Caenorhabditis elegans: one gene and its partner. The protein of the gene in region 1 interacts with the protein of each later gene in a pairwise test. Each region holds a gene or a part of one and is shown on either strand. Other genes may lie near its edges. The genes, in order: arrd-19 and unc-101.

Region 1 (10,776 bases):
CTTGAACCATCATTGTTTACGTGTGAATACTTTCCAGATATTGGATCGTACCGAAACTCTACGTATTTGTCTTGTGAGTCGTTTTCCAACTGGATAGGCTCGTCCTGTGTTGCTAAAACCTCATGACTTGGTGCTAAAAATATCAAAATAGTTAACAAGGAAAGAATTATAATGTAAATTATTATTAAAATTTTGAAAAAGCAAACAAAAACTCACCTGCAAGATGGGAAGAAGGAGTAGTTCCCGACAAGGCAACGAGAATTGTTGCTGAAACTACAAGAGCTCCAATGAATGCGGTAGTTATTTTTGCGATGCTCTTTCCAGGGTGACTTGGTGGCGATCTTGAAATTAGTTGGGAAGTTGCAAGAAAAAAGTTCTGGGCTTTTATTATGATTCGGCTCTCGAAAATTGAAAATGAACGGTGACAACCATAGTATCCCGACACTACCCCAAAATAGCTTCAAAGAACTTACCCTAATGGTCCACCCAAAGACAGAGCAGAGTATTGTGCATTCGTAGGATTTTGAGAAGACATTGCCGCCACGAAAAGTGTTTAGAACGAATTTAATTCTTCTTATAAGAACTTCTCATCGCTCCAAGGTCAAGATCGAAACGACTAGTTCTCCGACAACAGGAAGTGGTGATATTTGATAGACATCTTGTGACAGGTTACAAAGAATTGAATCAACGCACACATTTTTAATAGATCAAAAAGTAGCACCGGATATGCTGGGTCTCAGCACGATATCAAAGGTCCTCGAAAAAACTCTCTGACTTTCCCAAATAAACCAAAAAACATGTGTTTCACACTCAGAAGAATGGATATAAGTCACTAGAAAAATGTTCCCCAAATATTTGAACACTTTTGCACCTATTTGGCGGCCACATGAACAGTTTTGGTCGTAGAATGCGATCTTAGGTGTCTTTTCAACTCTACTAGAATTTGTTCGTGTCCTTCAAAAATATCGTTCCGTGTTTCGGGAAACGGCAATTTAACGCACTTTTTTCTGAATGTTGGAATCACAGATCATGTTTTTATTTGAGTCGAAACGCAATATTCCAGCATAAATTATTTTTTTGGCAGAAACCAAAAAAAAACCCCACCGACCTTACTTCACTTTCCACGCCAAGTTGCTAATAAAGTTCAGTTGAGAAAATAGTTTTCAATGCTTTTTAATGTTATAAAAAATTATTTTTGTCACTGAACAAATTAGCACTGTATATTAATTGATCAAAACTATTTCAGCCATCTTTTTCTCCAACTTTTCTAGTTTAGAAAAACCTAGCCGTTTCTATTTCTCTGGTTGAATGGAAACCATGTTCTTTGACTTTCCGTCCGCTGTTCCCTTTTTTCTCTGCGGCTCTCAACTGGTCAGAGAGACACGGAGTGTGAATGTCCTTCACGATGTACGCCTGTGTCTGTTTGGTTTCTCTTGGCACGGAGCCAGCAGATATGTACGCAAACACTACAATTTACGACAAAATCTAATGCGCTTTTTTTTGCAAAATCTATGTCGATCTTTTTATAAAAACGAATAAGTTATTGTAAGTTTTATTTCAAGGCAATACTTTACGAAAAATTCTGTTCAATATCTCAGTATTCTCCGTTTCCATTGCGCTCATATCCGATTTTATTCCAGTTTTCTCATTCAATTTTTGTCTTAAATTTTCGTTTCAGAGTTCCCATGCCAGATACAGAGCTTCACGTGATATTCAATCAACCTGACGAAGTTTTCCACCCGGGAAAACCGATTTCCGGGCGAGTGGTGCTCTCAACGACAAAGGAAAAATACAAGGCACGCGCAGTGAACATCAAGATTTTGGGATTGGCTCACACTAGCTGGACGGACACCGAGAGAGTTCGCAAAGTGTGAGAAATTTTTAAATTTTTATAAATTTATCATTACTGCTGATAAGGCTGAAAAAAAAAGATAAAAGCTTTCAAAATTGTAAAATGATGATTTTTCAGTAACGCCGAAGGCAAAGAAACCTACGAGACAAAAATAGTCAACTACTCTGCAAATGTGAACTACCTGGACTATAGCTTGCTTCTGTGGGCTTCATCAGATGGATCGGTAAGAGCTTTGATACATTTTTGAAAAATTCGATTTTAACTTGTTGAACATATTTTTACATTTTTGAAACATTAAGTTACCCTAGTCAAAAATAGAGTTGTTCTATAGGAAAAATAGTTGTACCATATAAAAAATTTCAGAACGAACTGGCAGCTGGAGAATACGCGTGGCCATTTTCTTATACTCTTCCTATCAATGTTCCACCGAGCTTCGAGGGAAAATATGGATATTTGAGATATTCAGTGACAGCTGAAATTGATCGGCCATGGCGTGTGGATAAGGATAAGAAGCGATGCATCACTGGTATGATCACTGGAATAAGTAAGGATGTCTCAATATTTTCATGTCTTTTCAGTTTCACCATTGATCGATCTCAATGTCATTCCTCACGCTCTCACTCAAATCAACGACCAAGCAAGTGAGAATCTCGGTTGCTGTTGCTTCACAAAGGGATATCTCGAGCTTCGTGTAAACATCCCAAAAACGGGATTCGTTCCCGGTGAAACTGTCCCCATGAATATCCATATACTCAATCACTCCTCCGTACCCGTTACCAAAGTCAAGGCAAAAATCATTCAGCAGTGCAAGTTCATTGCATACCGAAACGGTACAACAGTCACTTATGACGGAGGTTACGAGACCAGTACGTCCGGAATGCTGCAGGAAACACAACACGACACTAGGACCGTTGTCAAGCAGGGTCTGGAAATGAAAGTGGCTCCCAGGAATGAGCACAAGTTTGCGATGGAGCTCCGTCTTCCGTCTGTGACTCCAACCATCAATCAGTTCTCCCCTGTGATTACTGTAGAGTACATTGTGCAATTCCACGTGGAGACTAGCACGACTTGTGGGGGTAACGTCGATTGTGAAATGTCAATTTTAATTGGAACAGTCCCTATCAGCAAATATCTTCCACCAGCCTACTACCCACAGGATCCAAATCTTCCGCCGAGCCAACCAACGCCAATTGGAGGAGGAGTTGCTCCGGCTGGAGTTGCTCCAGCTGGAGTCGTCCCACCACCAGGATATGGATTCTTACCAATGACTGATGGTACAGACAATGGAGCCGGAGATACACCATATCCAGTTGGTCCGCCTTATCCATCTGATGTGCCTGCTCCATATCCAAGCGGGGATGAGCCAAAAGATGGTACTGTAGTAGTCCCATCTGGTGAGTTACTCAGAATCATTGTATGTATTACTATTCAATTTTATATGTCTTCAGCTCCACCACTATCCTACGAAGAATCAATGTATGGAACAGAAGGAACCGAGCTCAATACTGATGAAAATGCACAACCATTTGCTCCAAAATATCCCGTATTCAACGATTTGCCTGTGTATAACCCAACGGCGCCACCTCCAGAGTAGCATATTTTAATATGAGTCTGTTTGCTTTGTCTTCGTCACATAATGTTCAAAATATTGATTTTTAAAGGATTTTTCTATATACTTTGTATTATTTATCCCTCGGTAGTAAGTTTTTCTTGTTTTTTTATGCATAAATTATTAAACTATGCACACATTACGAACGATTGAATAAAATCATAAAAAAATTTTGTGATTTTAATAAAAGTATATGTTTGATATACAGTGTTGTAGTGGGAAACTCTTATATGTATAACAATTTTCCCAACAAAAAGGAAGTATCGTTGAAAGTGCATCCAGTTAAGTAAGTCTAAAGATGGAAAATGGACATCACGTTTTATTAGAGTGGATAAATAAATGGAAGTTTAATTAACTTTCAATATGAGGGAAAATAATACAAACGTACCTATATTGAATTTCCTTATGAAAACTTTAGAGCATTTCTCAACAATTTTCCATGGCGGGTTCAATTCCCAATGATGATGATGACCCACATTCAATGTCAATAGAAACCATACCTGCAATTTAATTGCTCAACGAATTTGCTGTTCTCGAAATAGCCTTCAACAAAATGATCCACTCTCCTGCAGGTCTCCTGCATAAGTTTCTTATTTTCATTCTCTTTTTCTTTATTTTCTGACGTCCCTTTAAGTATTCTCTCTTTCTCAGCGCGCTCCTTTTACCAATTTATCATACACCAAGGGCTCGTGCACCCTCCTCGGCCGCACCAAAAAGGAAGAAGCTCGGCAAGAGAAGATGCCAAAATGTGTCCACACTCTGTAGGTCCACTCTGCGGCTCAACACATAAAAATTGATGCTTTTTGAAGATTATCTGATTGTGAGAAAATGAGCACTGCAAATTTCAAGTATTGTCTTTTATAAAATTCTTCAAAAATGTTTCTGTTATCTTTTCGACTCTCTCAGAAACCTATCGCTGTATCCGTTTCTTTTTCACTAGTTGAATGGAAAACATTGTTCTTTGACCAGTTCTCTTTCCCCGCTGTTCCCTCTTTTTCTCTGCGGCTCTCTATGGGTCAGTGAGGCGCGGAGTGCATGTGTCTGCTGGGTTCGTTTCAATCGCCTTTTCTCCCTCCGTTGCTCGCAAAAAATGTTTTTGCCTAGTCGTCTAATGCTTACCCTTTTTTGAAATTCAACTGTTTTGTTATTATTTTTTAATCATCAAATCATTATCATTTATGTACATTTTTCATTTCAAATCATATTTTTTACAAACATTTTCTGAACCTCCGAAAAAAGTGGAATATTTTTAAACCCTATGCTCAAATTTCTGTGTTATCTCCTCAGACTCTTATCTTATTTTTTTCCCCGAATTTCCTCATGACTTGTTCTTTATTTCAGGGTTATCATGCCAAAAACGGAGCTACTTAAAGTTATATTCGATCAACCTGACGAAGTGTTCTTCCCGGGACAGCCGATTTCCGGGCGAGTGGTGCTCACAACGAAAGAAAACTATAAGGCTCGGGCGGTGAATATCAAGATCTTGGGATTGGCTCACACCAGCTGGAAGAACTACGAAAATGCTTGCAAATTGTAAGGAATTCGAAAACTCTGAGAAGTTACATATATAATTTAATTTAGTAATCTTTATCGGCTGAATTAAAATTTTTAAACTTGTACTGTTTTCTCATCCAATTTTATTTAATATTCAGTAATGGCAGCTCAATCTCGATCCGCCCACGATCAATTCATTACTCCGCAAATGTGAACTACCTCGACTACACCCAGCTTCTTTGGACTTGCGAAGATGGAAAGGTAGGTATTTTTAAAAACAAAATAATAATTCTTAGTTTTATACACATAACTGTTTATTAAAAAACAAAAGTTTATCTACTTGGGTGGGAAGTTTGAGCTCCCAGCGAGACCCAGAATATATTTGAGTTCAAAATAAGAAACATATAATTTCAGAACGAATTGGCAGCTGGAGAATACGTGTGGCCATTCTCCTATACTCTTCCCACCAGTATTCCACCAAGCTTCGAAGGAAAATATGGATATGTGAGATATACTGTGAAGGTTGAAGTGGATCGGCCATGGCGTAAAGACAAAGCCAAGAAGATGTGCATTACTGGTAAGGGTTATGCATAAATTTTGGTGGAATAGAGAAATATACTTTTAAAAAACCGAAGTAGACTTCTTTCACAGAAAGTAGATTTGGTATCAGGCCCAAATTAAATCAGATTAAGCCTTTTTTAGCCACTAGTATCTTGAAAATTCCAAAAGTATTTTTCAGTTTCTCCATTGCTTGATCTCAATGTCATTCCGCACTCGCTCACTCAAATCAACCACCAAGCCAGTGAAAATATCAGTTTCTGTTGCTTTCAAGGGGGAATTCTCGAGATGAGTTTGAACATCCCAAAAACTGGATTTGTTCCCGGCGAAACTGTTCCCCTGAATGTCCATCTTATAAATCACTCCTCGACCAGTGTTAACAACATCAAAGCGCAAATGCTGCAGCAGTGCAAGTTCACTGGATACAAAAGTGGTGCAACTTACAATTATGGTGGTGATTTTGAAAGAAATGAAAAAATGTCCGATAAAATCCAAAGAATAAAGTTTGACACGAAGAAGGTCGTCAAGGTATGTCAGAAACTGGAAGTGCCTGCCAAAAATGAGCACAAGTTCGTGCTGGAACTCCGTATTCCGTCTGTAACTCCAACCATCAATCAGTTCTCTCCTGTGATTACGGTAGAGTACATTTTACAAGTCAATGTAGACGGTCTAGTTCGTTGCGAGTCGTCAATCTTACTTGGATCCGTTCCTATTCACCAGTACCTCCCACCTGCCTACTATCAACAGGATCCAAATCTCCCGCCGAGCAAGCCAACTCCGATTGGAGCTCCACCGCCCGGTTACGGACCTCTACCGACCGACGATTCCGAGAAAGGCGCCGATGCACCGTATCCACTTGACCTCTATCCTAATGTCAATGATGAGAAAGTTCCAAACCCAAACGAAGATCCGACCAAGGATGGCACTGCAGTGCTTCCAAGTGGTAAGTTGATCAGATTTGTAGCATTTATAGAATGATCACACGACAAATTTTCAGCACCACCGTCCTACCAAGAATCAATGTATGGTAAAGCAGGCACCGTGCTCGACGCCAAAGAGAATGGACCATATGTTCCGAAATATCCCGTATTCAACAATTTGCCAGTCTATAACCCAACTGCTCCGCCTCCAGAGTAACAAATTCTAATCTGAGTCAGCCTGCTTTTCGCCTTGAATTGTTCAAAAACACTTTGTTCGCTTTTTTGCCTGTATTTACTGTTTGTCCCCCGTTAAGTTTTGTTCTCAAATTCCCAATGCATAAGTTAATAAATTACTTGTTTTCGTTACCGCTTGCCTACTCGTTCCGAATTTCAATTTTAATTTGAGCTTGAAATTCCGAGACGCGAGCTCAAGCTTTCAACAGGTCCCAACAGATTCAGACTGTTTCAAGCCGCCGCGTTCGCTTTGCGGCGACCTCCGCCTGCCTCACGCCTTGGTGCGGCTCCTAACCCGAAAAGTGTCGGCCGCATAAAAAAAACCACCCTTTGGCACTATGTGGTGTGAATACCAAGACTTTGACTTCTCGTCATAGTGCAGAAATGAGCCCAGAGGCCGGCGTGAGGCGGGCTGGTTGGAGGAAGATTTCAGGCTTTTTTGAGATTCTTGCTGAACTCTTCAAAGCTCGCAAGTAGCCTGGAGTTATTTGGAGAATTATAAGCCTTTTTGGATGAAATTGATGAAATGTCAGTTTTTTATAGAAACTAAAGGGTTAGAATGTTCACGAATTTCTCTCATTTCGATTAGTATGCGTTACTATTGCAATACTTGTTCGAGCGCTTCTTCTCTTCAAAATATTCAAAATAAAATATGATTCTACTGCACTTCCAACAAGCTTTATAATATAAACGTATGGGCCAATATTCTGCAAAAAAATTAAGAAAATATATTACTGAAATGAGGAAAGCCACAAGACCTTGAAGCTCGAAAATGGAAATTTAGGAAGAACATAATTGGATACTGTTGGCACAAAATCACATAGAAATACGTTGGCAGCGTCGACCAAGGCAATATGATTTATCTGAGATTCTAATAGTGTTACATCTCTACATAACAAGAACATTTACCTTTGAATGCTCACTGTTAGCATGATGACCCAGTGATTTATCAAAAATTAGCAGTCTTGTTGAGAGTAAACCGGAAAATGCAATGTTAAAAGCGAATATCACCTGAAACATGGAAAAATCATTCGAATGATTCTTCTTTTATGCCTTCTGCTTTGTCGAAATTGATTTTGGTCTCTCAATCTCAAAATATTACCGCTCTATCAGTTGTCCAAAAGTCGAAATAACAAGGATCAACTGAACATCGCAAAACTCCACAGTCTGTTGGCATTGCGGATATATTCATAGTACAAAAAAGGTACATAAGAAGATTTTCAAACATTGACAGGCTAATAGCCAACATCAGAATAATTATAGAAGGATATGAATCGCGATACTTATGAAACATAATTGGGGTGTAAATGGCCTGAAACTTGATCTCAGATGTCCCTTTTTAAACTTTTTTTATTTGAAAAAGATTTTTTAAATATAAAAATTGGATTCTCACCAAGACCCTTTCCAGAGAAATCGCCACAGCCACAATTGATCTCATAGCTCCTGCAGTTTGGAGTGGAAACCCTATATAAAGAATAAAAACTTGCTGCTCTCGGAGCTCCACAGTAAAATATGAATACAAAATGCAGAACGTCATATAGGCACAACCCAGAGCACTGTACGCCACGTCGAGAAAGAGGCGGTAGAAAAAGAGAATCATATTCTTACGAGTTCTAAATTTTTTTTATTTTCTGAATATTAATATGGCTGAGCTCAACTAACTTTACAGTCATTTTTATAAAATAGACGTTCATAACTGTTGTGTAAACAGAAGAAATCACCCCAATTGATGTTACGAGCACAGCGGGCACACTCATCAGAGGGCCTTCTTCAAGAGATGTCATTTTGTTAACTAAAATATAATTTATTTTCGTTCTAATTTATATCTTACTATTAGACTATAAGTTGGATCAAAAGTTGAACAAAAAATCATGCGCCTTTCGGAAGGCTCAAAAAGAGACCAAATGTTTTGTTTGAAAAGATCTGTGAAAAAAAAATTGGTCTGTAATTACACCTTCTTTATCAAAACTTATTTCTAATAGTAAGCTTTTTCAGTTGTCTGAGTTATAATTATTATGCTGTTACCTTTTTAACAAGTTGTGGTGGATGTAGGGAATTCACAGATACCACGTGCCTCTGATGGAGAAAAACTGAGAGAATTTAAAAAAGGGTTAAGATATATGGAGGTATTTTATTAAACACAAAAAATAAACATTAAGACCGCTTTTGTGCCATTTATACCCATAAACATGTTACGTTTGGACTCAAATAAGTTTGATCAGTCGTCGGGTACCTCTATATTTTTCATAATCACGCAGAAACTAGAAGCCGAAAACAAAGAAAAGAAAAGAGCGAAAATCAGAATGTTTTTTTTTCAATCCAATTTCCGAGTAACTCAGCGCCGGGATTATTTAATATGGGTATTTGTCAGAATTCTCGAATACCTATGAAAAATTATAGAATTCTGCGAGCACAAGTAAATACGTTCGCAGATTGAAATGGCGATTTCTGAAAAATATAATTAGCACCAACTTTTAAAATGGGACTTTAAGAATTTAAGAATATTAAAATACTCAACTTAATCTGAAATTTCATTCAGAAGCTTAAAGTTATTTCTTTCTGAAATTACAGTAATCCTACAGTCTCCTAAACTATTCCAACGGTGACATTACCGCAAATCGCCATGTTCATATCTCCCATTTCACAATTTACAAGATAGGAGACGCTAAAGATCACAATTATGTTTTTGTAGCATTCGATCAGACATCTCGCAAATGAATTACTTTTTGAACTCTTTTTTTTTTTTTTTTTTTTTTTTTTTTGTTTTTGTCTGTTTGACCTTGGGATACAACTGAATTCTTTTAGAGAGAACTTTATTCATTTTTTCTATTTTCGAGAAAACTATATTCGCATTCGAGAAGTCTATCTCTTGTGAAAAAATAAAAGAAAATGTCTCCACAAGACCCTGTGTATTCACAAAACGATCCACTGTTGGTAGGCAATTCAAATAGGTATGTCTTCATTTTTTGTTTGCATCGAGCCCTTGGATTACTTGCAAAGGCCTGGGCTAACAAATTTTTGGTTTTCAGGTAACTTAATAAGATAATTTTTATATAATTTTAAGATCACAATCAAGTGATCCTTGGAAGACCATTGCTAAGATAGCTACAGTAGTCATTGGAATCCTGTTCGTAACATCGCCAATTGTTTTCGGAGTTTCCGGAGTTGCTGAGAAAAATAAAGAAAGCAAACACGGTAAGAACGGGGAATTTCTGTGAAAGAGTAAAGTGATTTATGTGTTCAGGTTCTCTTGCGAATCAAACATCTGCGAATAATGCAACGGAAGAAAATACCCCTAGTGAGAATTTACAAAGCTATAACTATTCTGATGTAGTCATTTTCAGAGAATTATTCGACATCATTCACAGAAACGAAAAAGTCTATTATATTGAATCAAAAAACGGATGGAACAGTCACAGAATACGCAACATTTGAGTACAACGTTACAAGCGACGAGTACTCACGGCTCAACAATGATGGGACAAAAATTCAACCATGGCTCGTGAAGAATATGGAACGAAAGGTCAAGTTTTATTACTTCAAAGGTTTCCCCGTTAGAAAGACTGAATTTATACACAAGATAAAACCAAATGAGGACGGATTGGTACGTTTTCCATTCCGTTAATTCATTGGAAAGTTTGCTCCAGATTTATTGGAAATTCGAATTGGTGGACTCTTCTGAAATGTATGTAGATGAAGTAGCGATGACCATGTATAAAATGTATAAAATTATCGACAATAAAGGAAAAGCAGAAATGTGTACCGATGATTCTCTAAAGGTTAAAAAATCATCCTAGCTCTTTTAGTTGTTAATTACAGAACTGCTCGGATATTCCGAAAGATGACGAATTGATGATTCTTAATCCAAAATTCAAAACGTTTTTCATTGGTGTAAGTTTGCAATAGATTTTTGAAAATGAGCTACACCTTACATAATAGATGATTGCAGATGAAGATGTCCAAAAGAGAAGATTTTACTGACACATATTGGTTTGACACAAGCGAGATGGGCAGTTTTTCTGTAAAAGTCAGTTCACGTAAGTTAAGAAATGCTTCTCGTTATAGATGTAGTTTTCGGATTTTGTTTTTTTTTAATGTGGACTACGCTA
Region 2 (13,809 bases), on another chromosome or scaffold:
GAGACCCTCGAGACTAAGACCAGTGAGTTGAATTGTTTTCTTGATGACTTAGATCCTTAGAATTCGGAAGCTTTGATTTCCAGGAAGCTTAGGCTTAGATTCAAGTGTCCCTAATCTTTGCTTCTAATATCCATTGGGCTAGATCCGTCTGAGATCCATAAAGGCTCTATATCCCGAGCTTTCAGCCTACCTCGACGCCAAGGAGCACTTGATGAACACTCCAATGCTCTCACCAGTCTACTTCATTCTCGGAGGATCCAAGAAGGACGAGGGATGCATCATCGCTAGAAGTCTCGACAAGACCGCACTTCTCACCGAGATGGCCACATCCCCACACGGATGGTACCTGTTGGAGACCAACTACGATCAGGGAACCGAGGTGAGAGATGCTAGAGTTGAAGGTGTAGAGTAGGTTCTGGTAGACGGATCTAGGGGCCCAACTTTTAGGAGAGGTCCTTCTCTAGGCCTAGGTCTAGTATTTTGAACCCAGCTTCTTTTTTTGAGTGGGTCGAACTCCTAGCTAGAAATTTTGATCAAAAATCTGTCAAAACCTATCCGGAATTAACTTATCCAACATTTCCCTCTTCCAGGACCTCTACCTTGACGACCGTGACACTCCGGGATTCCGTTGCATGGACAAGTTGACCCAGAAGAACGTCGGATTCGAGGGAATCTTCAACGTCTTGTCATCCCGCACCAACCTGAATAAGCTCACCACCTACACCGTCCTCATGTCCGTCGAGACTTCTCGCTTCGAGACCATCCTTCAATCCTGCCCGGGAGAATGCTATCCATGGTAGATTGGATTCAACATTCTCATATACGCAATGATTCATTGAAATAAACTTTCATTTTTGTAAATAAACTTTGATGGGTTCTTGTTTGAAAACGAAATTTTCATAAAATTTAAAAATTTTAGAGTTTTTTGGTTTTTTTTAAACAAAAATTAAAAATTTTAATTTTCCCGCTGGAAAAAAATAATGAGTTACGGTAGATTTAAAGGCGCATGCACCGAAACTTATCGAGGTTACCAAAGTTATTGCTTTTTGTGGAATTTTACATTTAAAAAATAATTGTTTGCTAATTTTATGGTTTTTCGTCGTTTTTTCGTTTCTAACCAAGTTTTCCTCCTGAAATTCAAATTTCGTCACAATTTTATTAAAAATGGGATACGGTAGATTTAAAGGCGCATGCCTAAATATTTCTTCTGAGTCTCGTAGCGATTGGTGGTTTTGTGGAATTTTCTACTAGAAAAATGAATTTAAACTGATTTTCCAGTATTTTTACACAAATTTTTTTTATTTCAATTCAATTTTCAAATTATTCAATTCAATTTTCTGGCGGAAATTGCCAGTTTTTGTCATTATTGTCCAATAAAATAAGGTACGGTAGTTTTAAAGGCGCACACCTAAATTTTGCTCCCTTGGTTTCAGTTTTGAATTTTTAAAATAGAATTTTAACCGATTTTCGTCGATTTTCACTTAATTTTTTGCACTTTTCCGACGAAAAAGTCGATTTTTTGCAAAATTCGGTATTTTTCTCCATTTTTTCGCGAAAAAACCGCTATAAACCAAATTCTCCACCTTTTCCATCCAATTAATCCGTCTCCAAGGCCTCCTGCACCGCTGCTGCCGCTCCGTCACTCGCCGAGAGAGTATATAAAGTGAAGAGACTGCAGACTGCAAGAGGGCGTGCCCGCCAGCAGCCGATATCCATCTTTGCACTCATTTTCTTCGATTTTCCTCCGTTTTCCGCTAATTTTCTCCGGATTTTCAGTATTTTCCAGTAGCTGCCACGTGGAATTTGACGATTTTAACGAGAAAATCGCAAAAAATCGTCGAAAATGGCGACTTCCGCCATGTTTATACTGGATTTGAAGGGAAAAGTGAGTTTTTTAGTGTTTTTCACGTCGGAAAATGCCAATTTTCGCATTTTTCAGACGATAATTTCTCGAAATTATCGCGGAGACATCGACATGACGGCAATCGATAAATTCATTCATTTACTCATGGAAAAAGAGGAAGAAGGCTCGGCAGCGCCCGTTTTGACCTATCAGGACACGAATTTCGTGTTTATCAAGCACACAAATATTTATTGTGGGTTTTTTGTGTGAAAAATTGAATTTAAAATCAAAAATTAGATAGAAAAATGGCAAAATTGAAGAAAATCCGTTGAAAATGACGCAATTGGTCAGAAATTTGAATTTTCAAGCCAAAAACCGATAAAAAGTGCAATTTTTTGTGGTTTTTAACATTTTCAAATTGAAAATAACGTTTTAAAACTAAAAAATGAGTTGAAAAACAGTGAAAAGTAACAAAATCCCTTGAAAATAACGGAAAACCCAAAAAAATTCAATTTTTTGATTTTAAAGTCAGAAAAATTCAAAAATTCCTTGATTTTCTGAATTCCCGAGTGCTAAAATTCAAAAAAAGCCGAATATTCGTAAAAATTGACTAAAATCAATAAAACTGCGATTTTCGTAATTTTTCCATTTTGTAGTTTATTTGAAATGTGGTAAAAATCTTAAAAAAGGAGCAAAATTGTTTCAAAAATCAAGCTTTTCTGCCAGAAAGTCGATAAATTGCGAAAAATTCGTCATTTTTCACACTTTTTCGACATATTTTCACGATTTTTGAGCCAGAATTGTAAATTTCCGGAAATTTTCCCGCCGACAGCGGGTGCAAGCGCGCTCCAATGATAAAACACCCATTTTTAACGGATTTTCAGTCATTTTCTCCAGAATTTCCAGTCAAAAATTCAAATTTCCCTCATTTCAGTGGTCTCAGCATGCCGTTCAAACGTCAACGTCACAATGATTTTGTCATTTTTGTACAAATGCGTCGAAGTTTTCTCCGAATATTTCAAAGATGTCGAAGAGGAGTCGGTTCGCGACAATTTTGTCGTTATCTATGAACTTTTGGACGAAATGATGGATTTCGGGTTCCCACAGACGACTGAGAGTCGAATTCTACAAGAGTAAGGAGGAAAAACGAGAAAAATTGAAAAAAATTACTCAAAAATTCGAATTTCCCGCACGAAAAATCGTTTCATTTTCTGCTGCAAATGCGCTCCAATGCGAAAATAGCCAAATATTAGCGTTGGAGCGCATTTGCAGCGCGCGATAGCAGTAATTTTAAATTTTGGGTCAAAATATGTATTTTCGACCCTAAAATTTTGAATTTCCAATCACAAATGCGCTCTAATGCAAAAATCGCAAAAAATTTACATTGGAGCGCATTTGCAGTGGCGGGGAATTCAAAAATTCAAATTTTCCTGTTCAAAATGTGTCTTTTGTCTCGAAAATTTGAATTTCTATTTGCAAACGCGCTCCACTGCGATTATTTGCACTGTAGCGCGGTTGCAGCTGGGAAATTTGAATTTTCATTGAAAATTTCAATTTTCTCGCATTCAACATGCAGCAAACGCGCTTCAATGCAAAAATCGCAAAAGTTCACATTGGAGCGCAATTTTCCTGTTCAAAATGTGTTTTTCGACTCGAAAATTTGAATTTTTGTGCAAAATTATCATCGATTTTTCCTCAATTTTCAATCAAAAAACCCCCCAATTTTTTGCAGATACATCACACAAGAAGGTCAAAAACTAATTTCGGCACCCCGTCCCCCGATGGCAGTGACAAATGCCGTCTCATGGCGCTCTGAAGGCATAAAATACCGAAAAAACGAGGTTTTCCTGGACGTAATCGAAAGTGTGAACATGTTGGCCAGCGCCAACGGTACCGTACTTCAATCGGAAATTGTTGGAAGCGTTAAAATGCGTGTCTATCTTACCGGAATGCCTGAACTTCGGCTGGGTCTTAACGATAAAGTACTTTTTGAGGGCAGTGGACGTGAGTTTTTTCGAATTTTATGCGAAAATTGAGATTTTTCAGGCAATTTTACCCTAAAATCGATAAAATTTTGTTAAAATTCAACAATTTTAAAGTTTTTAGCGTTTTTCAATTGCGCTCCAATGCGACTTTTTTTAAATTTTTGCAATGGAGCGCGTTTGCAACTTGAAATTCAAACTTCCTACCGCTACAATCGCGCCCCATTGATAATTCTCGATTTTCAGGCGGAAAAAGCAAATCTGTGGAACTGGAAGACGTGAAATTTCATCAATGTGTACGCCTGTCGCGTTTTGACACGGATCGAACGATCTCCTTCATACCGCCCGACGGAGCATTTGAGCTTATGAGCTATCGGTACGAAAAAAGTGGAGAAAATCGGATTTTTAACCGAAAAATCGAGTTTTTCGCATGATTTTGACGGAAATTCAGTGATGTGGCCTAGTTTTTTCGAAAAGTTAGGCCACCGACTTCTAATCTGTGGCCGAAGTTTGATTTTGTCTATTTTTTGGCTTAAATACTCGATTTGAAAGCTGAAAATGCCAGAAAATCCTAGGAAATGCCAATTTACCCACGTGGCCTAGGTTTTTTGGAAGTTAGGCCACCATAGCCTAGTTCGTGGCCGAGTTGTAATTTCGAGTTAATTTCTGCTTTTTTATGCCAAAAACGCTCGAAAAACAATTATAAGGTGTAGAAAATACAAATTTGCTTACGTGGCCTAGGGTTTTCCGGAAAAAACTAGGCCACCAAAGGCCGATTCCTGTTTTTGGGTTCTTTTAGGTCAAAAAACTCGTTATTCAGACGAAGAAGAGCTCAGTAACATGAAAAATTCTAGAAAAATACAAATTTGCATACGTGGCCTAGATTTTACAAGAAAGTTAGGCCACCACTGGCCAATTCATGGCCGAACTCTATTTTTTGGCTAAAAACTCGGCTTCTTTACTACAATAGCTCGATTTTTCTGTAAAAACACGTTAAAACTGTAACAAATGGAACACGTAACATGCAAATTTCCACTCGTGGCCTAGTTTCTCGCAAAAGTTAGGCCACCACTGATCAGTTCGTTGCCGAACTCTATTTTTTGCTGAAAACTGTGTGTCTGGATCAAAATTGTTGGTTTTTCTTAAAAAATAAGTCAAATACACCTGCGGCCTAGGTTTTCGGGTAGAAAATTAGGCCACACCTTAATTTTGAGTCTAAAAAGTTGATCACTAGGCCAAATTTAGCTTGAAAACACTGAAAAATAAAAAAAAAGCAAATTTACATGCGTGGCCTAGGTTTTCAGGTAAAAAGTCAGGCCATGCCTCAATTTTGTGTCGAAAAACTCGATTTTTACCTCAAAAAGCTCCAATTTTTCCTGAAAATTCTCGAAAAATACCGTTTTTTTTCAGATTAACAACCGTGGTGAAGCCGCTGATCTGGATCGAGACAAGCATCGAACGTCACAGTCACAGCCGTGTCTCGTTTATAATCAAAGCGAAATCACAATTCAAACGGCGCTCCACTGCTAATAACGTGGAAATCATTATTCCAGTCCCGTCGGACGCTGATTCACCGAAATTCAAGACAAGCATCGGTTCGGTGAAGTATACGCCCGAGCAATCGGCCTTCGTATGGACTATTAAGAATTTTCCCGGCGGAAAAGAGTACCTTTTGACCGCCCATCTATCTCTACCGTCTGTGATGAGTGAAGAGTCTGAAGGACGGCCGCCGATTAAAGTCAAATTTGAAATTCCGTATTTTACGACCAGCGGCATTCAGGTAGCCGAATTTTTCGCTTAAAATTCGACTTTTTAGCTCAAAAATTCAAATTTCCCACCGCCAAAAACTGCCCAATTTTGAGATTTATGTAATTTTTTCGCTCTAAAATGCTGAAAATTTCATTTAAACACATGATATTATTTAAAAATCCGACTTTTCAACTAGATTATTTGAATTTCCCGCCGACCGCATGTTGCAAGCGCGCTCCACGGATAAAACTGCTCAAAATGCAGATTTTTGTGATTTTTTTGCGTCAAGATGATGCAAATTTCTCGAAAAAACCTAACATTTGACTTTTTAACTCAAAAATTCAAATTTCCCGCCTACCACATATTGCAAGTGCGCTCCACGGAGAAAACGGCTCAAAATTGAGAATTATGTGATTTTTTGGTGTTTAAGGGTGATAAAATCTTCTAAAAAAAAGGCTTGAAAATTCAATTTTTCCCATAAATTCCACCAAGTAAACCCTAATTTTCAAATTTTCAGGTCCGTTATCTGAAAATCATCGAGAAAAGTGGATATCAAGCATTGCCGTGGGTCCGCTACATTACTCAAAATGGAGAATACGAGATGCGGATGAAATAATTCCTGAAAAAATTACCTAAATTCATATTTTATTGTATTTTATTCCCAATTTTACTCTTAATTTTTGGAATTTTTTATGAAAAATTGGTGAAAAACGACCGTGGCCGAGTTTTTGGAAAATTTGGAGGTCTAGGCCACCATGCTTCCAGTGGTGGCCTAACTTTTCGAAAATCCTAGGCCACGGCCCCGTTTTCCATCAATTTTTGCCTCTTTTAATGTCAAACATCTCCAATTTTTTCTGTGAAAATTTAATGCTCCGCGAGCTGCTCCCCGGCTCAAAACATGTGTTGTGTGTGCTCTTTCCCCTGATGACCCCGAACTCTATTTTTTTTTGTTCGAAAATTTTTATTTTATTTTTCCCACCGATTTATTTATTGATTTTTATCGCATAATTTAGATTTTTTCCAGAAAAACGAGTTTTTTCCCTTTCCCACCAGCATAATTTTCTCACCACATGGATCCTCATCAATTTTTCCCGTTTTCCTTTTTTCAGTAAATCAATAAATTTTCTGTCATAATTGTTTACAAAATGTTTTCCGGGGGCTAAAAATTCCATTTCAAAAATTGTCTAAATTTCCAGAAAAATCACTGAAAAAAATGCAAAAAATTGCCAGAAAATGCGCCGATTGTTGCCGATTTTTCGTCGAAATTTGCGAATTTCTGCATTTTCGCGTCAATGCACCACATCTGACGACACTTTGCGGACTTTTGCGCCAAATGCGTTGATGGATCGAATTGTGGACGATTTGAAGGTTCGGCAAAGCGGGAATTTGAAAATTTTGAAGATTTAGCATTGGGGCACACTTGCATCACGCTTTTATGGCGCGAAATTTGAATTTTTGCCCTAATTTTGGACTTTTTTTTGCATTGGAGCGCATTTGCATTAGCGGGAAATTCAAATTTCCAACTCTAATTCAATTTTTTCCAGAAAACTGGCACACATTTTGTGATTCCCGGTCGAGATTCCTTTGCCAGACAGGAATCGGCAAAAGTTTTCGAAAAACTTTTGGAAAATGGTAGGTTTTGCTAATTTTTTTTAGTGAAAAATTTGAAAAAACGAAAAATCGAGGGTTTTGAGCATTTTGACTCTGAAAAAACAAAAAAAACTAGATTTTGAAGCATTTTATCCGTGGAGCGCACTTGCAACATGTGGTCGGCGGGAAATTCAAATTTTTGAAATAAAACACGGAATTTAGGCGAATTTTATGTTTTTACAGACGATTTTCAAGCATTTTGAGTCTGAAAATTCGCAAAAATCCTGATTTTGGGCTGTTTTATCCATGGAGCGCACTTGCGCAATGTGGTTGGCGGGGATTTCAAATTCTTGAGTTAAACTATATTTTTGAGCGTTTTAACGTAGTTTTCTTTAATTTAAAGCCATCTTTCACCATAATAAATCAAATTTTCAGTGATTTTTCAGACATTTATCGATTTTTCCTCAAAAATCCCACAATTTTCAGGTGTAAAATGCGAATTTCTGCTGGATGCGAACACAAAAAACGCCACACTGTTCCGTACAATTGTCTCACAGCCTGGCGCCTCACTGGAGGTACGTTTGGATGGGGTACTGTAGAAAAACCAATTTATTTTTGGGAAAAAATTTTTAGAGAGAGGGGAGAAATTTCGCGGAAATTTTTGATAAGAACGGATAATTGAGATAAGATGAGAAATTTTTGTTTTTTGCAGATTTTGGAGACGATTGTCAATGTTGGATATGTCACTTTTGAGGATGCGATTCGACTTTTGGCACTGTAAGTCTTTTTTTTGGAAAAAATTCGGATATTTTGAGGAAAAAAAATGTATTTTTCAAAATTATTTACCTAAATTTCCATATGGCTTTTTAAGAATGTGAAATTCAAATTCAGCTCGCCGAGATCTTTTGAATGACCCCCATCATGCCTAGGGAGGGTCTCGCCGCGAAAGTTTTGGGTCTCGCAACGAAAACTTGAGTTTAAAGGGAAATAGGGCATGATTATACTTAAATGAAAGGTCTCGACGCGAAAAGCTCTAAAAATTAGGTTTCAAAATTTCTAGGCCAACAGGTAGAAAGTTAGGTCACGATTTTTTCAATTTTGGCCTTGCAACAAAAATTGGAGCTTAAAAAGCTGGCGCATAGGGCAACGTGGCAAATTCAAAAAATTAGGCTTTGGAATTTCTAGGCCACTGGGTGAAAAGTTAGGCCATCAAAAGCCCCCGGCTTTGGGGTGTCATGTAAAAATACCTTGAGATCCCAAATTTTTTTCGCTAAAGTTTCCCAAATTGGAGAAAAAGTTGGTCTCGTCAATATTTTTGATGATACGACGGACGACACGAAACGGGTAATTAATCATACTCTCAACTCGCCCTTCTCACACCTTTCCTACAGTCATTTTTTCACACTTTTATCTTTTGATTCGCTATGAAACTTTCACTTTTACACGCCCTGAACGCTGGAGATGCGACGACAACGAGGACGATAATCATCAAAAATCCATTCATTTTTCTCACACATTTTCGCTCGCGCGATTTTATTTGATTTTATGATTTTCACGTAATTTTTCTATCTCGCTTCATAATTTATTTATCAGTTACATTTTTGTGGATCTTGTGTCACAAAAGTTGGGCCTCCGAGAGAAAAGTCTGAAAAAAGTTATTCCGAAATAAACACTTGGTGCCAGAAGTTCCCATTTTGGTTTGATCTACCTAGATCTACAAAAAATGCGGGAGTAGAGACGCAGAGTTCTCGGCTGACTTAGCATGGTTAAGAACGTGCTGACGTCACATTTTTTTGGGGGAAATATTCCCACATTTTTTGTAGATCAAACCGTAATGGGACAGCCTGACACCACGAGCTCGGCCAACGGCAATCGGTTTTCAACGTATTTAACTGAAAATTCGCCATGAAATTAAGTGTTCTAAAAACTTCTATATCTCAAAAACTAGAGCTGCTATCGAAAAGTTGTCAACTAGCAATTTGTTCCGCGAATTATAAGGAACAACTTGTTAGTTGAAAATTTACAGCTAACTTCTAATCCTGATGAGTTATCACTAGTTTAAGACCGTCAACGTATCGGCACTCGCCTATCATGAAGTTTTCATGTAGCGATAACTTTTCAATGACTAATGTTAGTTAAAAATTGTCAACTGGAAAGTTATTCCTTATATTCTGAAGATTCGTTTTCCAGGTGACAACTTTTTGGTAGCACTTCTAGTTTTGGAGATACGGGAGTTTTTCGGTTTCGTCTAGAAAAACTTTTATATCTCAAAAACTAGAGCTGCTATCGAAAAGTTTTCAACTAACAATTTGGTCCTTAGAATATAAGGAACAATTTGTTAGTGGACGATTTTTACCTAACTTCTAATGCTGATGAGTTATGACTAGTTAAAGACCGCCAACTTTTGGCACTCGCAGGGTTCAAGCAGCGATAACTTATCAGCAGTTGGTGCTAGCTGGAATTTGTCAGCTAAACATTTTTACCTTATGTACTGAGGTTCATTTTTCAAGTTGGCAAATTTTTGATGGCTCTCATGGTTCCGAAGTTACGGCGATTTTTTTTTTTGAAATTCGTTTCGAAAGTTCAACTTCCGTGTAAACAGCCAAATCGAATTAAACTGTTAGCCAATCTTTCGTGCTTCCAGCTTCCCGGACGATCTTCTCCGTCACGGATCCCCCAGCATCACCAAAAACATTGAAGCTCTCTCCGCCTGTGGTATCTCGACTCCCCGCACAATTGGCTCGGCAATCAAGAAATGCCCACCGTTGCTCTTCGCCCGGGACCCCCAGGAAATGCAACGACTGGCTCACGAGATTGGTGGATTTTTCTCCAGAAAGCAGGTGAGTGCACAACTTTTAATCTAAAGATTATAGTTAATGGCTTCTTAATCTTCCGCTTATAGCCCTAATCCCCACTTTCTCCCCGAAAAATCTCAAAAATCATTAGCTTTTGCATATTTTCATTGCAAAATTCGAATTCCTGCGCTATTTTTACCCCTATAAGCGTTTTTCTCCAGCTTCAACTCGTTGTTTTGAATTTCTGTGCATTTTTGCGTGAGCCTCGCGGTGTTTGCGTACTTTTGGCGCTACCGTAACCCGACATTTTGAAAATCAACACCAGGAGCTTAGCGAATATTTATTTAGAGGTAGAATTGGCTGAAAAATCCGAATTTCTCAGTTAAAATTTGCGAAAATCAATAATTTTCCAAATTTTCAAAAAAAAAAAAAAATTTTTTTACAGGCCGGTCATCTCATCTCCCGTTGCCCGCAGATTTTGCTAAAGCCAATTGAAGAAATTGAGGAGAAGTATGAGTACATGTTTTATCAGGTAAGACTCCGCCCACTTTTTGAGTCTCGGCGAGAAAATTTTGGGTCTCACCACGAAAAGTGCATTTTAAAGACACAGTAGGGCATGATTATACTTAAATGAAAGGTCTCAACGCGATGATTTCAAAATTTTAGGTCTTGAAATTTCTAGGCCACCAGCTGAAAAGTTAGGCCACGTAAACCATTTTGGCTTAAAATCGTCGGTTTCCAACCATTTTTCGCTATTTTCAGATGGGCGTTGAAGCTGATGACGTGGCAGAATGCATCGGTTGGATCGATATTCTCACGTTTGACGAAATCGTTGATCGCCACAAATTCCTGCTGGCGACCGGAAAATTCGCGACCCCCGACGCGAAACGGCCCCAAATTCGCATCGAAAATCCGAAATTACAGAGCATTTTGGATAGTAAGGAGGAGGATTTTGCTGTTAAAGTGAGGAGATGAGAATTTGGAAAATTTGCTGAAAATTTGAGAATTTTTTGTGAAAAATTGGGGAAAATCAACGAGAAATAGGGTTTTTTGGGAGAAAAATCGATAATATATCGATTTTTTCCACAAATTTATTTTAGTTTTTTATCGATTTTTGTGTTAATTTTACTTAAAAATTCCGAGCGGAAAATAAAAAATTCCCCGAAAATGCCAATTTTTTCAGAAATTCAACATTTTCAGGTCGCCCGGGTCACAATGGAGGAATGGATCGTTTTTAAGGCATTGCGTGTCAAGGAAACTATTAATGAGAAAAAAGTAACATTTTTTAGTGTGAAAATAGGAAAAAAAATCAATAATTTTAAATTTTTCTTAAATCTGAAAAAAAAAAATTTTTTGGAAATTTTTTTTTCAAAATTTTCAAATTCCCTTTATAATTTGCGAAAAATTCACAATTTCATATTAGGCTCCCCGAGCTCTTCAAAATGACACCAAAAACGCCTATTTTAGGTCTCGCCGCGAAAGTTTTGGGTCTCGCCACGAAATGTGTCCTTTAAAGGAACAGTAGGACATGATTATACTTGAATTGAAGGTCTCGCCGCGATAAATTTGAAAAATTATGTTGCGAATTTTATAGGCCACCATGTAAAAAATTAGGCCAAGGAAAAAAATTTTTTTTAGGAAAGTTCAGAAATTTTAAATTTTTTGCAATTTCCAGGAACGAAAATTCGAACGAATCAAGCCGTCAAAACGAAAAGCCTACGAAAGACGGCACAAGGAGCGTCAGGAGCTCGCCGAGCACGTTTTTGACGTCTCCCATGGAAATTAGCACCCGGTTTTCACGGATTTCCCTTCGTTTTTTGTTAATTTTTATTGATTTTTCGATAGATTCCGGTAGTTTTTATACCTAGCAAAATTGATTTTTCAAGTTTTTCGGAGATTTTTGACTCTAGACGGTTGATTTTTCGAAAAATTCCCGAAAAATCGATAATTCATTTTTTTCCTTGTTATTTATTGATTTTTCCATTGATTTTTAAGTTTTCTTGTTGAAAAATTTTTTAATTTTTACAAAATTTTATCGATTTTCTCAATTTCCGACAGGTTTCCCACCCTGAATATTTTTTGAGAATTTTTCTTTATTTTTTTTCAGTATTTTCAGCTTTTTGAGGTATCAAAAGCCCAGGGAGATACTCGAAAAATGCACCGATAGCCGACGGACAACTTTCGAGAAATTATTGATTTTTAGGGTGAGTTATTGATTTTTTCGATTTTTAAGAATATTTTTTCGCGGAAATTCAAAATTTGTATCATTTTCGTACTCAGCTCGCCGAGACCTTTCGAATAACACCCATCAGGCCTAGGCTCCACCCCCTTTGGGTCTCGTCACGAAATTCCGGGTCTCGCCACGAAAATTTCAGTTCAAAGACGCATAGGACATTATTATACTCAAATGAAAGGTCTCGGCGCGAGGAATTCAAAAAAATTGAGTTTGAAATATTCTAGGCCATCATGTAAAATTATAGGCCACGAATTTGTAAATTTAATTTTAAAAAATATTTTACAGAAATGTTCACCAACCCTGCGGACGATCCGAGAAGCGGCGTACATTCGCAAAACTTTCACGATTTTTCGATTCCCTGGTTCGAAGAGCTGATGATGCACCAGCAACAGGTAAACTGATGGCCTAACTATACACTCGGCTGCCTAGGATTCCAAGAATCATGCCCTAAGCACCTTTAAATTTGAAGCATATCGTGACGGGACCCGAAATTCGGTTCACTGTGAAGGTGTTATCATTAGAGCGCGCTTGCAACCACCGGGATTTCTCACCCGAGGGTCCCTTCAACAACAAAAAAATCTCCAGCTTTCCTCCACCAAAAAAAGAAGGAAACGAAGAAAAATAAGAAACATTGTGTGCGAAAAAAAACGACGGAACGACGAGTTCCCTTTTTCCCCGTTTTTTTTCTCATGTTCCATTCGGTTTTGCAAAAAAGGCAAAAAAAAGCGGAAAATTCTAACCTTCTTTGTGCTCTTTTTGTGCTCTTTTTTCGGTGCTAGGACCGCCCGTGCAAGTGAGTTTTGCACTACAAAATGATTGTGACATGTCGATGCACCATGACTGAGCTCGCCGAGAGCTCTATACTTTGGAAAGATCCGTAGATTCTACTGAGCCGAGTTTTGGGAAATTCGGATGTTCGAAGATCGTTCCAGCTTTCTGAGTGAGCTGGGAACTTCTGGCAGTCTGAAACCCCTACGGAGCTCGTGGAGCTGCAGAATCAAGAAATTTGACAACGAATTTCAATAGAACTTGTGAGGCTGATCACTGAGCCTTCTGCTCGGCCCTCGGGCTTTCAGTAGTCTTTTAAGGATCAGGAGCACCCGGAGTCACTCAGAAGCTCGTGAGCAGTTTCTGAGATGTTCAAAGATCTCCAAGAGCCGCAGAACCACAATATTCGAAAAATTTAATTTTCGTAGCGCCTGGATTGTCAGGGACTGCTGAGCTGAGATGCTTTTGAACTTCTAGAAGTCTTCTGAGACTTGTGCTCCAACCAGGAGCCTACTGTCCTGTAAGAATCCACGGAGCACCTGGAATTTGGATGGATACCGCTCTTGAGCTCACTCGGAGGGTTAAGGACTCCTAGACACCTTGACAAGTTTCTAAGATGCTCCACGAGCTCCATGAGTTGCAGAATCCTTAGCGCCTATTACGAAGAATTGTATGCTTCCAAAAGCCTAAAAAGCTTAGATCCTTGATGCCTCGGCGCAGATTTCGTCACCGGTCGATTGCCATGTCCCGCCGCTTTTTTTTTGTTCATGAAACATTTGAATGTCATCGTCAGGACGCCGTCCCCCCCTTCTATCCATGTTTTGCTCTCATTTCGTGCTTTCACAC

Evidence for each region.
Region 2: the proteins of arrd-19 (region 1) and unc-101 interact in a two-hybrid assay, tested with the Caenorhabditis elegans proteins (3 studies listed by BioGRID).

The regions. Positions count from the first base shown.
Region 1 is NC_003283.11:3,306,144-3,316,919, reverse strand, and holds arrd-19 (Arrestin C-terminal-like domain-containing protein), read left to right. Parts: upstream 1-1,678; 5' UTR 1,679-1,685; coding exon 1,686-1,870; intron 1,871-1,969; coding exon 1,970-2,075; intron 2,076-2,215; coding exon 2,216-2,378; intron 2,379-2,430; coding exon 2,431-3,246; intron 3,247-3,300; coding exon 3,301-3,446; 3' UTR 3,447-3,676; downstream 3,677-10,776. Other genes in the region: F35F10.1 (PAW domain-containing protein), read right to left, coding at 1-133, 217-341, 474-535; arrd-18 (Arrestin C-terminal-like domain-containing protein), read left to right, coding at 4,810-4,994, 5,114-5,216, 5,370-5,532, 5,695-6,456, 6,511-6,650; srbc-3 (Serpentine Receptor, class BC (Class B-like)), read right to left, coding at 7,231-7,374, 7,426-7,530, 7,577-7,678, 7,770-7,979, 8,061-8,280, 8,330-8,451.
Region 2 is NC_003279.8:12,506,712-12,520,520, forward strand, and holds unc-101 (AP-1 complex subunit mu-1-I), read left to right. Parts: upstream 1-1,587; 5' UTR 1,588-1,843; coding exon 1,844-1,885; intron 1,886-1,939; coding exon 1,940-2,096; intron 2,097-2,777; coding exon 2,778-2,976; intron 2,977-3,575; coding exon 3,576-3,847; intron 3,848-4,071; coding exon 4,072-4,201; intron 4,202-5,235; coding exon 5,236-5,605; intron 5,606-6,091; coding exon 6,092-6,190; 3' UTR 6,191-6,709; downstream 6,710-13,809. Other genes in the region: asah-1 (Acid ceramidase subunit beta), read left to right, coding at 1-22, 186-379, 591-800; mter-4 (Mitochondrial transcription termination factor family protein), read left to right, coding at 6,808-6,942, 7,119-7,206, 7,651-7,739, 7,877-7,941, 9,809-10,004, 10,405-10,491, 10,722-10,922, 11,160-11,234 and 1 more; K11D2.4 (C2H2-type domain-containing protein), read left to right, coding at 12,483-12,587. UniProt on the Caenorhabditis elegans protein: Component of the adaptor complexes which link clathrin to receptors in coated vesicles. Clathrin-associated protein complexes are believed to interact with the cytoplasmic tails of membrane proteins, leading to their selection and concentration.